3 linked regions of the Rhinolophus ferrumequinum genome follow. The protein of the gene in region 1 interacts with the protein of each later gene in a biochemical or structural test. Links are inferred from orthologs where the notes say so. Each region holds a gene or a part of one and is shown in the gene's direction. Other genes may lie near its edges.

Evidence for each region.
Region 2: the proteins of BCL2L1 (region 1) and SIVA1 form a complex in vitro, tested with the Homo sapiens proteins (2 studies listed by BioGRID and IntAct). The link is inferred for Rhinolophus ferrumequinum from reciprocal best matches to the Homo sapiens genes BCL2L1 and SIVA1.
Region 3: the proteins of BCL2L1 (region 1) and BMF interact in a test that uses a peptide from one of them, tested with the Homo sapiens proteins (2 studies listed by BioGRID). The link is inferred for Rhinolophus ferrumequinum from reciprocal best matches to the Homo sapiens genes BCL2L1 and BMF.

What each region holds. Positions count from the first base shown.
Region 1 is NC_046306.1:22,759,535-22,763,277, forward strand, and holds the start of BCL2L1 (bcl-2-like protein 1), read left to right. Parts: upstream 1-1,226; 5' UTR 1,227-1,520; intron 1,521-2,327; exon of another isoform or gene 2,328-2,622; intron 2,623-2,913; 5' UTR 2,914-3,025; coding exon 3,026-3,589; intron 3,590-3,743. UniProt on the Homo sapiens protein: Potent inhibitor of cell death. Inhibits activation of caspases. Appears to regulate cell death by blocking the voltage-dependent anion channel (VDAC) by binding to it and preventing the release of the caspase activator, CYC1, from the mitochondrial membrane.
Region 2 is NC_046289.1:860,065-863,807, reverse strand, and holds the start of SIVA1 (apoptosis regulatory protein Siva), read left to right. Parts: upstream 1-1,207; 5' UTR 1,208-1,291; coding exon 1,292-1,409; intron 1,410-3,631; coding exon 3,632-3,743. UniProt on the Homo sapiens protein: Induces CD27-mediated apoptosis. Inhibits BCL2L1 isoform Bcl-x(L) anti-apoptotic activity. Inhibits activation of NF-kappa-B and promotes T-cell receptor-mediated apoptosis.
Region 3 is NC_046289.1:64,884,281-64,888,023, forward strand, and holds the start of BMF (bcl-2-modifying factor), read left to right. Parts: upstream 1-1,474; 5' UTR 1,475-2,511; coding exon 2,512-2,638; intron 2,639-3,308; exon of another isoform or gene 3,309-3,547; coding exon of another isoform or gene 3,548-3,569; coding exon 3,570-3,743. UniProt on the Homo sapiens protein: May play a role in apoptosis. Isoform 1 seems to be the main initiator.

The sequences.
Region 1 (3,743 bases):
AAATAACAAATGGCCAAGTTATAGTATTATTTGTAGTAGGAGAGGATTGGAAACTACCTAAGAGTTCCAAAATAGGGGATTGGGCAAGTAAAGTATGGCATGTCTTTATAAAGTTGTGTGTTAATTTTAAAAATTGAGGCAGATCCAAAATGTAGAAATCAGCAAAAAAGGAAGATGTAGAAGCTTTTATAGCAAGCTACTGTTTGTGTAAAACATTTACACGTGTTTGTGAATATAGCAACCATCTCTGAAAGACCACAGAGGAAAGGGTGATGATCTCTGTGAGGGCAACTGGGGACTGGAAAGCAGGGTGGGAATAGGACTTACTTTTTAATTCTACACTCTTTGATATGTTTTTAACATTCAGTGTTCCTGTATCCCTATTTTTTTAATCCATCAAATTAACACAAAATAAAACACGTTTTAATGTTCAGAATCAAGTCCAACTTACTTCCATGGTCAGCTTTCCAACCTCCTCTCACACCACACTTGCCCTTCCTCACACTACCTTGCAGTCATATTGCTTCTCCTTCAGCTTCTGGAACATACCAAGATCTTCCTGCCTCCGGACATTTTACACAAGCTATTCCTTCTGCCTAGGTTGATACTCTCTAGGCTCTTCTGATAGGTGTGAATTTTCTTATACTTCAAGTCTTGGGTTCTATATCATCTCTTCAAAGAGGACATCCCTGGCCACCAAGTCTAAAGTAGCACCTCTCCCTTCACCACCTTTATGATAATACCCTTATTTACTTTCTTTATAGCACTAGTCGCTATTTGAAATTACCTTGTTTGTATATTTTCTTAGTTATTTACTGTCTCTCTCCATCTCAAGGGTTTAAGTCTCCATGGAAGCAGGGACCGAGTCTTGTCTTGTTCCCAACTCTATCTTCAGAAACCAAACAATAAGCATTTTATGAATGAATTTATGCAGCATATACTACAGACCACACACTGTTCTACAGACTTCACACATAACTCTTTTAATCTTTACAGTAACTCAATGAGGGAGATTGGTATTTACCCATTTTTACAGTTAAAGAAAGTGAGGCACGGAGCAATTGAGTAACTTGACCAACTGGCTTCTTAGTCACAACACGATGCTTTTTCGATATATAAGCGGACGGATGGGTGAAATTGACTAAATGAATGGAAATGTGAAATGTAAACGTTGATACAAATATATATACATATATATTTTTTGCGCCTCCGGATTCCCTAGCTCTACCGCAAGGAGGCGCTCTCTTCCAGGTCTTGACGCCAGTCCTCAAGGCGCGCACTTTTGCGTCTCGGGCTCGCGCGCGCTGCCGCGGCACCGGAAGTGACTGAGCTTGCAAGTTCCCCCGGTGTCTTCAGGGGAAACTGAGGCCGGCTCGTTCGGAAGAGACAGCGCGAGCAGTCCGCCAGGTAGGCCGGCCCGGGTCCGCGGCGCGGAACCCGGCCGCGAAGAGCCCTCGCGTCTGGAAGCGACCTGACCGACAAGGGGGGATGTGGCCCCCCACGGCTCGCGGGGCTTGCAGGTGAGAGTGCCGCCTCTTCTGTGCGTGGCAGGCGCTGCGCCCAATGGGAGCCCTCGCCGTCCCGTTTACTTACCGACTGGGCTCTCTGATTGGCTATGCTGGGGCGGGCCGCCGGGGGCGAGACCCCTCCTCCCAGAAAGGTCTAGGGGGCGCCCCTGAGGGAGAGCGGTTGCCTAGCAACGGGGCGGTGGCCCGGCGGGTACCCGGCCCTGAGCGCGGGAGAAGCCGCGAGGCCGCAGCCCACCCACCCCGGGCTCCGGAGAGCGGCAGCCTCCGGCCCCCAAGTCCTCCCGGGGGCACGAGGAAGCTGCCTCGGGCCTGGCCCCAGGAAAACGTGGTCTCGGCTGTGGGAGCCCTCGAGCAGGCCTCGACCCTTCTCCTGACCGGAGGAGAGGCCCGGCGCCTCACCCTCACCCCGTCTTTGTGCAGGGCGCCGGCGGCCATTGTGTCCGTGTGGGGAATGGAGGACCCGGCAATCCCCCACCGCCACCGCCGCGTCCAGGGCCTTTGGGGAATTCAAAGAATACCAGCGGCGTTTCTGAGGGGTCCCCGGCCTTCAGCCTCCCGGAAAGACCCGGGGATGGCTTTTCCGAAGTCAGACCGCAGATCCGAAGCAGTTTTCCCCTCCCTGCGTCCCTCATCGAAACCTTGAGCCCCATTGAGAAGTCCCTTCAGGGTTTCGGAAGCCTGGGCCGGTACTTAAATAGAAAAAAAAAAAAAAAACCAAAAAAACCTAAGCTCTCCACCAGCCACCTCTGGGAGAGTTCTCCTGGCTCCCAGTAGGAGGCGGAGGGAGAGCCAAGGAGCGTCTAGAGCGAGGGGGCTGGGCTCCCGGTGGCAGGAGGCCGCCCTCGTTCTGGGCGATGGAGGAAGAAGCCAGCGAGGCGGTGGGTTCGTGAGCTTCCTAATTCCTGTGTCGCCTTCTGGGCTCCCAGCCTGCCGGGTCGCATGATCCCTCCAGCCGGAGCTGTTTTTTTTGCCAGCCGCCGCGAGGCCGGCTGACTTACCGGCATCCCGGCTGCCACCTCCTCTTCCGACCTATATGATACAAAAGATATTCGGGGACTGCACCTGCCTGCCGTCGCCTGAGACAGATTTGAAAGTAGGTGGTGCGGGGGTGGGGATGGGATGCAGACTGCCCATGAGGGTGACTTTCCGAGGAAGACATTTCGGAGAAAAGGGGGTGGCTGGGGTAAAAAAAGGCCGGTGTAATGATTCAGAGCCCACTGGTGCTTTTAATTCGACTTCATTGAACTCCGGGAAGCTAGACCCAGACCTTCCTAAGAGCCACAAAGAAACCAGTTCTGGTACCTGGAGGTGCATTGGGATGTTGTAGGGTAAATGGTATGCATGTTAATTTTCTTTTTCCCTGAAGCTCTTTTTTTTCCTTTAGAACATTATCTTGGTTTTGGATCTCAGAAGACAACCACTAAGCAGAGACCAGACTCAGTGAGTGAGCAGGTGTTTTGGACAATGGACTGGTGGAGCCCATCCCTATTATAAAAATGTCTCAGAGCAACCGGGAGCTGGTAGTTGACTTTCTCTCCTACAAGCTTTCCCAGAAAGGATACAGCTGGAGTCAGTTTAGTGATGTGGAAGAGAACAGAACTGAGGCCCCAGAAGGGACTGCATCAGAGATGGAGACCCCCAGTGCCATCAATGGCAACCCATCCTGGCACCTGGCGGACAGTCCTGCGGTGAATGGAGCCACTGGCCACAGCAGCAGCTTGGATGCCCGGGAGGTGATCCCCATGGCAGCGGTGAAGCAAGCACTGAGGGAGGCAGGTGATGAGTTTGAACTGAGGTACCGACGGGCATTCAGCGACCTGACATCCCAGCTCCACATCACCCCAGGGACAGCATATCAGAGCTTTGAGCAGGTAGTGAATGAACTCTTCCGGGATGGGGTGAACTGGGGTCGCATTGTGGCCTTTTTCTCCTTCGGTGGGGCACTGTGCGTGGAAAGCGTAGACAAGGAGATGCAGGTATTGGTGAGTCGGATTGCAACTTGGATGGCCACTTACCTGAACGACCACCTAGAGCCTTGGATCCAGGAGAACGGCGGCTGGGTAAGGACCATGCCCCTTGTGTGTCCCCTTTTCTTGGCCTCTCGTCTGAGAGATCCCCAACAGCCTTTCCTCCTATCTCTTTCTGTTGTGCTGGGAGATTATTGGACGTGTTATTTAAGAAGACATGATTGGCCTCATTACACCACAAGAGGTT
Region 2 (3,743 bases), on another chromosome or scaffold:
CCACCACAGCAGGAAACTAGAGAATCCCTCATTGTCCTTCCAGTCCCGATTACCATCTCTACGAGCAGTAAACTGCTATTAACTACCCTGTACCCACCACTGTAAAGAAGGGTGTGTCTCCATTTTACTTTCTATCCAACCCCCGGGATCGCCCCGCTTTGCTTTCTCCCGCCCCCTTAACCTACCACCCATGGATTCCATGAACCCTCCTTAGGTCTCCTTCTTTGTAAGGTATAAAATAAGCTGCAAAACTGCCATTTTCTGAAGCATGTTCTTAACCCGTTGAGATTTTGCTTCCCAGCAAGTGTCAGTCAGTTTGGCTCAGACAAACTCATTAAATTTCTCTACAGGTTTGGACGTTTCTTACCAGGACACAGGGCAAGGCCGCGACTGAGCAGCGACGTGAGGTGACCTGGTGGGCGCCCGATGGGGGCGGACTCCTACCGCAGAGGACACCCCCCCAGGGCACCGTCTCCGCGCCGCTTGGAGCGGCTTGCCGGCTGACTGACGTCACGTGTGACGTGTCACGTCAGACCGAAGAAGCAGCTCTGGTCACTGGAAATGCAGTGACGGAAGGGCCGGCCGAAGCCAGACGGAGAGGCTGTGGGAAGGCACCTCCGGGCAACGGAGGAATCTGAGCCCTATGAGCACGTGTTCTCCCCGCGGCTCCCGCGCGGCCGTCGCGGGGCCGGATGTGACGTGGCAGCGCCGGACGCGCGCCGAGGACAACCCGGGTCGTGCACTGGCCACTCTCCACTTCCGTGAGGATGGGAATTCCTTCAAAGTCAAAATTAGGAGGAAGGAAATCATCCTCCAACTCTGGTGACCTGAAAGAGGAACTATAACCAGTTTCACCAGTTTACGGACCAAGGAAAAAAAACAAAAAAAAATGAGACACTCCGCCCCTCCTGCACCACGAATCCCGTCCCAATGTCGCCTCCTGCCTATGAGGAGGCGCACCTCACACAGGACCCGCCCCCAGCGCTAGAGTCCCGCCCACAACCTCACCCCGGCCTATCCCGCGCCTCTAGCTCACGAAACCGCCCTCCCACTCCCCCGCCCAGGTGAGCCTACTCCGACCCGGGCCTTTCCCGCGCCGCCAACTCCGCCCCCGGTATCTCCCCTGGCCTATCCCGCGCCGGACAGCCCGCCAGCCCCGCCCCCACACTCGCCCTCGGCCTATTCCGCGCCGCGCACGAGCCCCGTCCCCGCCCTGCGCGGGGGATGGCGCGCGGCTGTGACGTCACCGGCGAGGCGCGGGGCGGACGCTAAGCTCCCCCGGCCCGCGGCGATGCCCAAGCGGGGCTGCCCCTTCGGGGACGCGGCCCCGCTACAACTCAAGGTTCGAGTGGGCTGGAGGGAGCTAGGCCGCGGCATGTGCGCCGAGCGCTACTCGCAGGAGATCTTCGGTGAGTGCGGGGTAGGGCTTCCTCTCTGCGACGCGGGGCCTGGGCAGGTCTCCGCAGGCCGCGCCCCCAGGAGCTGGGAGGTCTGGGACCACCCGGGAGCTGGGGTTTGGAGCGGTGCGGGAGGGGCGAACGCGTCCGTGTCCACCTGCGCTGGCCACAACCCGCAAGAAGTGCCCCTCCCTCTCCAAACGAGCGGCCTCTGCGTGGGGCCGCTCCCGGGCTTGGATTTGCGGGGATGCCGAACTCGCGTCGTAGCTGTAATAACTAGCCCTTGTCTGACTAGCGCTAGGGCGCCTCAGGCGCAGCGAGAGGTCAGGGAGTGGGACGTCCTGGGTGGAGTAAGCCCGCAGAAGTACCCGGTCTAATCGAGAGGTATTTGAGGAGCGCGCCCTCCCTACCAGGCACTGCGGCTGCGCGTGTGACGCGGCCTTCCGGGAGCTCCCGGGTCTAGTGGGAGCCCAGCAGGAGAAGGAATGTCCAGAGACGATCCGGCTGGCCCAGGTCGCTGCAGGACCCGCTGCAAGGGTGTCAGAGGTCCGGTGGAGGAACAGCGCCTAAGCGGAATTCTGCAGGGTGACCAGGAGTTAGGCCGGCAAAGAGGGAGAGGAGGATTCGAGGCAGGTGGAACAGAATGTGCAAAAGCCGGGAAGCAGAACAGTGGAGTAGGATTCGTGTGGCTGGAGTATCCACCTCCCGGTGAGAGGTGAGGGCAGTGAGCCACTGGAGTCCTCCTTACCTGGCTCTCGTACAGATTTTTAGGTGCGCTGATATTAGTGATCCCCAATGTGGGGTGGTTGATACTCTGGGACAGCTGTAAGGTAAAGCTTACCTTGCTGAGAGGTCGGGGGCACAGGCACAAGGTTTGCACCCGCAGAGCAGTTAGAAAGTGACCTGGGTGTTTGTAATTAAGTGGTGCTGCTGTGTGTTAGGGGCGTGGGGAAGAGCCCAGCCTCGGGAGACCCCAGTTTTCTGCGTCTTCCCCCCACCCCAACTGCCACCATCCTCACCCACTCTGCCTTTCTTTCCTTGCTCACTCGGGTTGCAAACGCAAATGCTTTCCAAGGCCGTGCAGGTGATGAAAATGAGTGAAGCCATGGGGCCTGTGGCTGAACTGCATATGTATTCCGTCAGGACATTCAAAAACATAAACACGACCAGCAGCAAGGACTAAAAGTGGGGACCAAGGCAGTCTGGCTCTTTACCCTCTCCCTTGAGCGCCCGTCGTGGAGCGATTGCAGGGCCCCATGACTTGCAGGTTTTCCAAGGAGAGGGGCTGGGCGCCCTGGGCATTCCATAGTAAGGGCAGGACGCCCAGTTGGAACTGCTGTGTAGCAAATTCCAAGCTCAAGGCTATGACACTGACCACAAGACCTTGAAGATAAACATTAGCCTCACCATGTGACACCCCTTCCCCCCCCATTTCCATCCCATTGTGAGTTGGGGAGGGCACAGGAGAGCCCAAAGGAGGAGGAGCTGGTGGCTGGGCTGTCATTAGCCACTCCATTTGAATTACCTAGTAACTGTTCCTGTCAATTTCACAGAGCCACCAGCTTCCAGGATCCCCACCCTGGCTCTGTTGGGACAAGACAGAAACAACAAACAAAGCACTTCTGGGGCTGGCAATGGGCATTTGATCCTGTGAAAGTCCCCAGGTGACTGACATGTGGCCCGAAGGAAAGCCACTGCTGTGGGTGCTGAGCTGCCAGTTCAGCTCTGTGGGCGGGTTGTCCAGAGCCTACAGAGGTCTGGAAAGTTCAGGAGCCAGTTGATGCCGTGTCTTGCCAGCAGCTGTGCAATGGGTGAAGGAGGCGCACACTGGCTGGGTTTGGAGGCCCAGCTCTGAGCCTCTGCCTGTGAACCCGTGCTTTATAGCTCAGAGCTCCTCTGCTGGACACAGCTGGCTGGTGGGGCACGGGACGAGGGGAGCAGTCATGAGGTGAGGCCATGCGTTGAGAGCGCTGTATGGAAAATGAGCAGAGTGACCGGAGAGGGCGCCCGAGTGGGGCTGCAGAGCCCCAGACCTTCCTGTAGGAAGTAGCAGCTGAGCCTGGTTCAGGATGGGTGGGAGGCAGTGTGGGTGCAGTTCCCCAGGGAGCGGCGTGGGCAGGGGTGACCAGAGGACAGCACAGAGGGGCCCCACACACCCGGCGTGGAGGATGAGATGGCTGTGTGAGGGCTTCTGTGCCAAAAGGCCTAACCGGAGGGGTGCTCTGTCTCCCCAGAGAAGACCAGGCAGCTGCTTTTTCGCGGGGCCCAGGCCTACATGGACCACATGTGGGAGGAAGGCTGCGCCATCGTTGACCTGCCAGAGTCCCCGAAGCCCGGCCCCACAGA
Region 3 (3,743 bases), on another chromosome or scaffold:
TTTGGGCCTAGCGCAGAGATTCCCTTACTGATGGTATATGATTTGCGGGACCCATTGCTCTCCTGGCAGCCCCAGCACTCTCTCTGGAGGCTGCCATAAACAGGATGTGTGTCAACTGCCCAAGCAGCGCCTGCATTCTTGATCTCTTCTCTCCTCAAACAGATGCCTATTTTGTGTTCACGCCCAGTCAAGAAGAGGACATGAGGGTTCCTTTGGATGAGTTTGATCTGAATGTCACTGAGTAACAGCACCGGACATACGTGTTCTCATGCTTCCTACAGATCTGGGGCTGGAGTTTTCTCCAGACCCGCTCCGCAAGCGGGAGGGTGCTTTGCTACCTTGCCGGGATCCGCAGGGACCCGCACTTGCAACCACTGGACATTGCCAGTCGCGTTTAAAAGCTCCCGCTCTCCTCCTCCCCTCCCTTTAGGGACGCGCAGTATTTATTCAGCCTATTCCCGAGAAAGAGAAGACAAGTCACTTTGGCGCCTCCTTGTTCGCTCCTAATGGAGAGGGCTGTGCTTCCCTAGCCTGCATTAGGAACCGAGTCTGCGAGGGCAACGGCGCACCAATTGCGTTTCTGGCGGGGGTCAGAATTTTGCTCGGCCCCTTGCAATGTTTCCAAGGGGAGGTTCGTAGATTCGTGACTGTCCCTGGCAGTCGCCCAGCCCGGGACTTGGGGCTCCACTCATCATTGGCCAGCGGTAGGCGTGACGCGCCGGAGGCGGGGCCTCATCAGCTGTTTGCGGGATGCCCCGAGCGGGCGTATTTTGGAAACAATACCGCGCGGTGCGGAGTGGCCTCCTCCCGGGCGCGCCCGGCCGCTGCCGCTGCGTCCCCTGCTCGCTCCTCCCGCCTCCCACTTCTCGCCGCAGCCGGGTGAGCGCCCGGGCGGCCGGGAGCCGGGCGGAGTTGGATCGCACCTCCTCGGGGAAGTGGGGAGAGGAGTCGCGCTGCGCGTGGGGGCCCGGGAAGGGTTGGGCTGCAGGCGTGTGGGGTGACCATGAAGTACTGGGGCGCTGGGCTGCGGGAACGGGGTGAAGAACCCACATCTAGGTGCGCTGCTCCACCAGGCAACTTAGGGGTAGTAGCATTTGAGAGTCCGAGGAGTTGGGTCCAGGTGGGCAGGGGAACCTGCAGTGCACTGCTGAGCCGACCTAGGCGCCCGAGATCGGCCGGGCCTCTGGATCTTACTTTGGGGTAGGGCAGGGAGTCGTGGGGCATCCTGCCTCCCTGCGGAGTTTGAAGGCTCCTCTCCTTAACAGCTGGGCTTTTTCCCTCCTTCCCAATTGAGTCTGGGCGCCAAGCCCCCGAGTGCTCGTCACGCTGGACCCTGGCGCGGAGCCCTGGCATCACGACTCGGAGGCCGAGACTCTCTCCTGGAGTCACCCAGGTCGGCGGTGTGTTGTGTGAGTGCGTGAGTGTGTGTGTGTGTGTGTGTGTGTGTGTGTGTGTGAGAGAGAGAGAGAGAGAGAGAGAGAGAGAGAGAGAGAGAGAGAGAGAGACCAGATTTTAGCCCTTGTCGAAGTTCAGAGTATCTGGCTACTGCCTTCTCCGAGGAGGAGTCTAAGTTCAGCATCCCTGTTAAGAGTCCTTAGGGGCTGGGATGGCTCCGGCGAGCTTTAGTCCCCCTTGCTAGCAATATAGCCTACCCTGGCCGTGCTCTCAGCAAGTGTTCCCCTCCTACCAGTTTGGACATCACCCCTTTTGCTCAGGTCAGTTTACACTTGACCTTGCCCAGCACCCCACTGGAAGCGCCCACCTGCAGTTCCTGTGGAGAGTGGGACGGGTCCCCGTCCGCCCCCCCCACCCCCTCCCGCCGTGGCAGAGCCACACCCTCTGGCTGCACCTCCCCCACCGTCCAGTCCAGGCTTGGGGTTGAACTTTGGGGCTTTGCTGGGAGGGGGATGGGGAGGTGACGGGCTTCAAAGGAAGAACCAAGACAATGACTCCTGCTTGTGATTGGCTTTGGAGGGTCCCTTCTTACGTTGGGATCGCCAGCTTGCTGAGAGGAGGTTGAAGGGCTGGAGGGGAGCCCCTGCCAGTGACTGGCAGGACAGCCTTTCCTTTAAGCGGGAAACTTTGTTTCCTGGTGCTGATAAGCTGGAGTTCTCCCACCCCACGCCTCCTTTGGGAAACACTATTGAAAGAACACCAGGTGCCTGTTTTGCCATCCAAGTAGGCATCTCCTCACTCTCCAGGGATGAGGGCAGAGATAGGACCATAGATAGTTCCAGGAATAGATGGGATGGAGGGGGTTGAAACAAGCACCTCAGAGACAGCTTGCATTTAGGAAAGCCAGGATTTCTGAATTTAACCGGGATTTCTTTAAGTACTTTACCAACCCACAGACCCTTTGGCTTGCTCTTCAAAGGCAAGAGACTGGGAGACAGAATTCCCAGGGAATCTAATAGAATCTGGCAGTGACAAACATTGTCTCTCTGTATCCTTAACCTATTCAGGTGGTTGTTGCTTCTGGCTGCCCCAGGGGCCTTGAGGGGTTCCTAGTGTATGTGTGTAGGGGTCTGGGTTCGGATCTCAAGATGCTGGATGGCTCCAAGCTCAGACTTCCAAGAGCCAACAAGTGGAGCAAGAACTTCTTTATTACCAAGAAACTCATCAACAACCTGTATAGCCAGTGAGTGAGGTCACGGAGAAAGGGCTGAATTTCACTTCCTTCTGTGAGGCAGGTTGTACCAATCCCAGGTTCAGCACTGGCAGGAATGGTAGGCTGGCTATGGTGAAGGATTTAAAGTCACGGAGACTAGTGAATAGACTGAGCTGGGGGAGGCTGGTCACTTTGCTGAATGCTGGACCTACCCTCTTGGCCAAGCTGTGGTGGGTAGACAGCTCTATCTGAGAGGGCAGCTGCAATGACTAATTTGGGTCTTTCTCCCTTCTCTCTCCCAGGACACCCTTACCACACCAAGGAGTCTGTTTGTTGTGTTGAGCAAGCAGGGGGTGGAGACTAGAGTAGATGGGCAGGTGGGCGGGACTTAGCAGGTTTGGAGGGAACCTGGCTGCCCTATGATTGCTGGCTGGCTTTTGTTTTTACTGCTGAGCCTGGAGCTCAGCTCAGACTTGGTGGTTACTCCCCAGGGCAGTGGTGGGGGGGGGGGGGGAGAGGGAGGGAGAGAAAGGAGAGAGAGAGAGAAAGAGAGAGAGAGAGTTAGTTAGTTGTGAGTATTTTGTGTACAGCCAGTCACAGCACCCTTCTGCCCTCCCACAGCCACTCAGAGAGGCTAGCCTTGTTAACATTTCCCCAGGTACCCTGTATGCATGAAGCAAACTTCATGACTGACCAGCTGGGTCAGAAGAAGAGGCCGAGGGGAGGGTAGCTGTGAGTGGGCCCAGGAAAGTGGTGCTGCAAGTCCCTGACTGAACAGTGAGGCAGTCCAGATTTGGGGATGGATGTCACCCTTGGCTGTGCTTTACCACCAGGGTCATCTGTCACTAGTACCTGCCCCCACTTCCCCAGATAAGAAGGGAGACCAGGGAAGAAGGTGGGGGAGGCCCAGGGTTGGCCTGGGTGGGGACAGCATCCTGGATGCCTTATTATGCCCTAACAGGGGAGATGGAGCCGCCTCAGTGTGTGGAAGAGCTGGAGGATGATGTGTTTCAGCCAGAGGATGGGGATCTGGGGACCCAGCCTGGGAGCTTGCCCTCTGCTGACCTGTTTGCTCAGAGCCAGCTGGACTGCCCCCTCAGCCGTCTGCAGCTCTTCCCTCTCACCCACTGCTGTG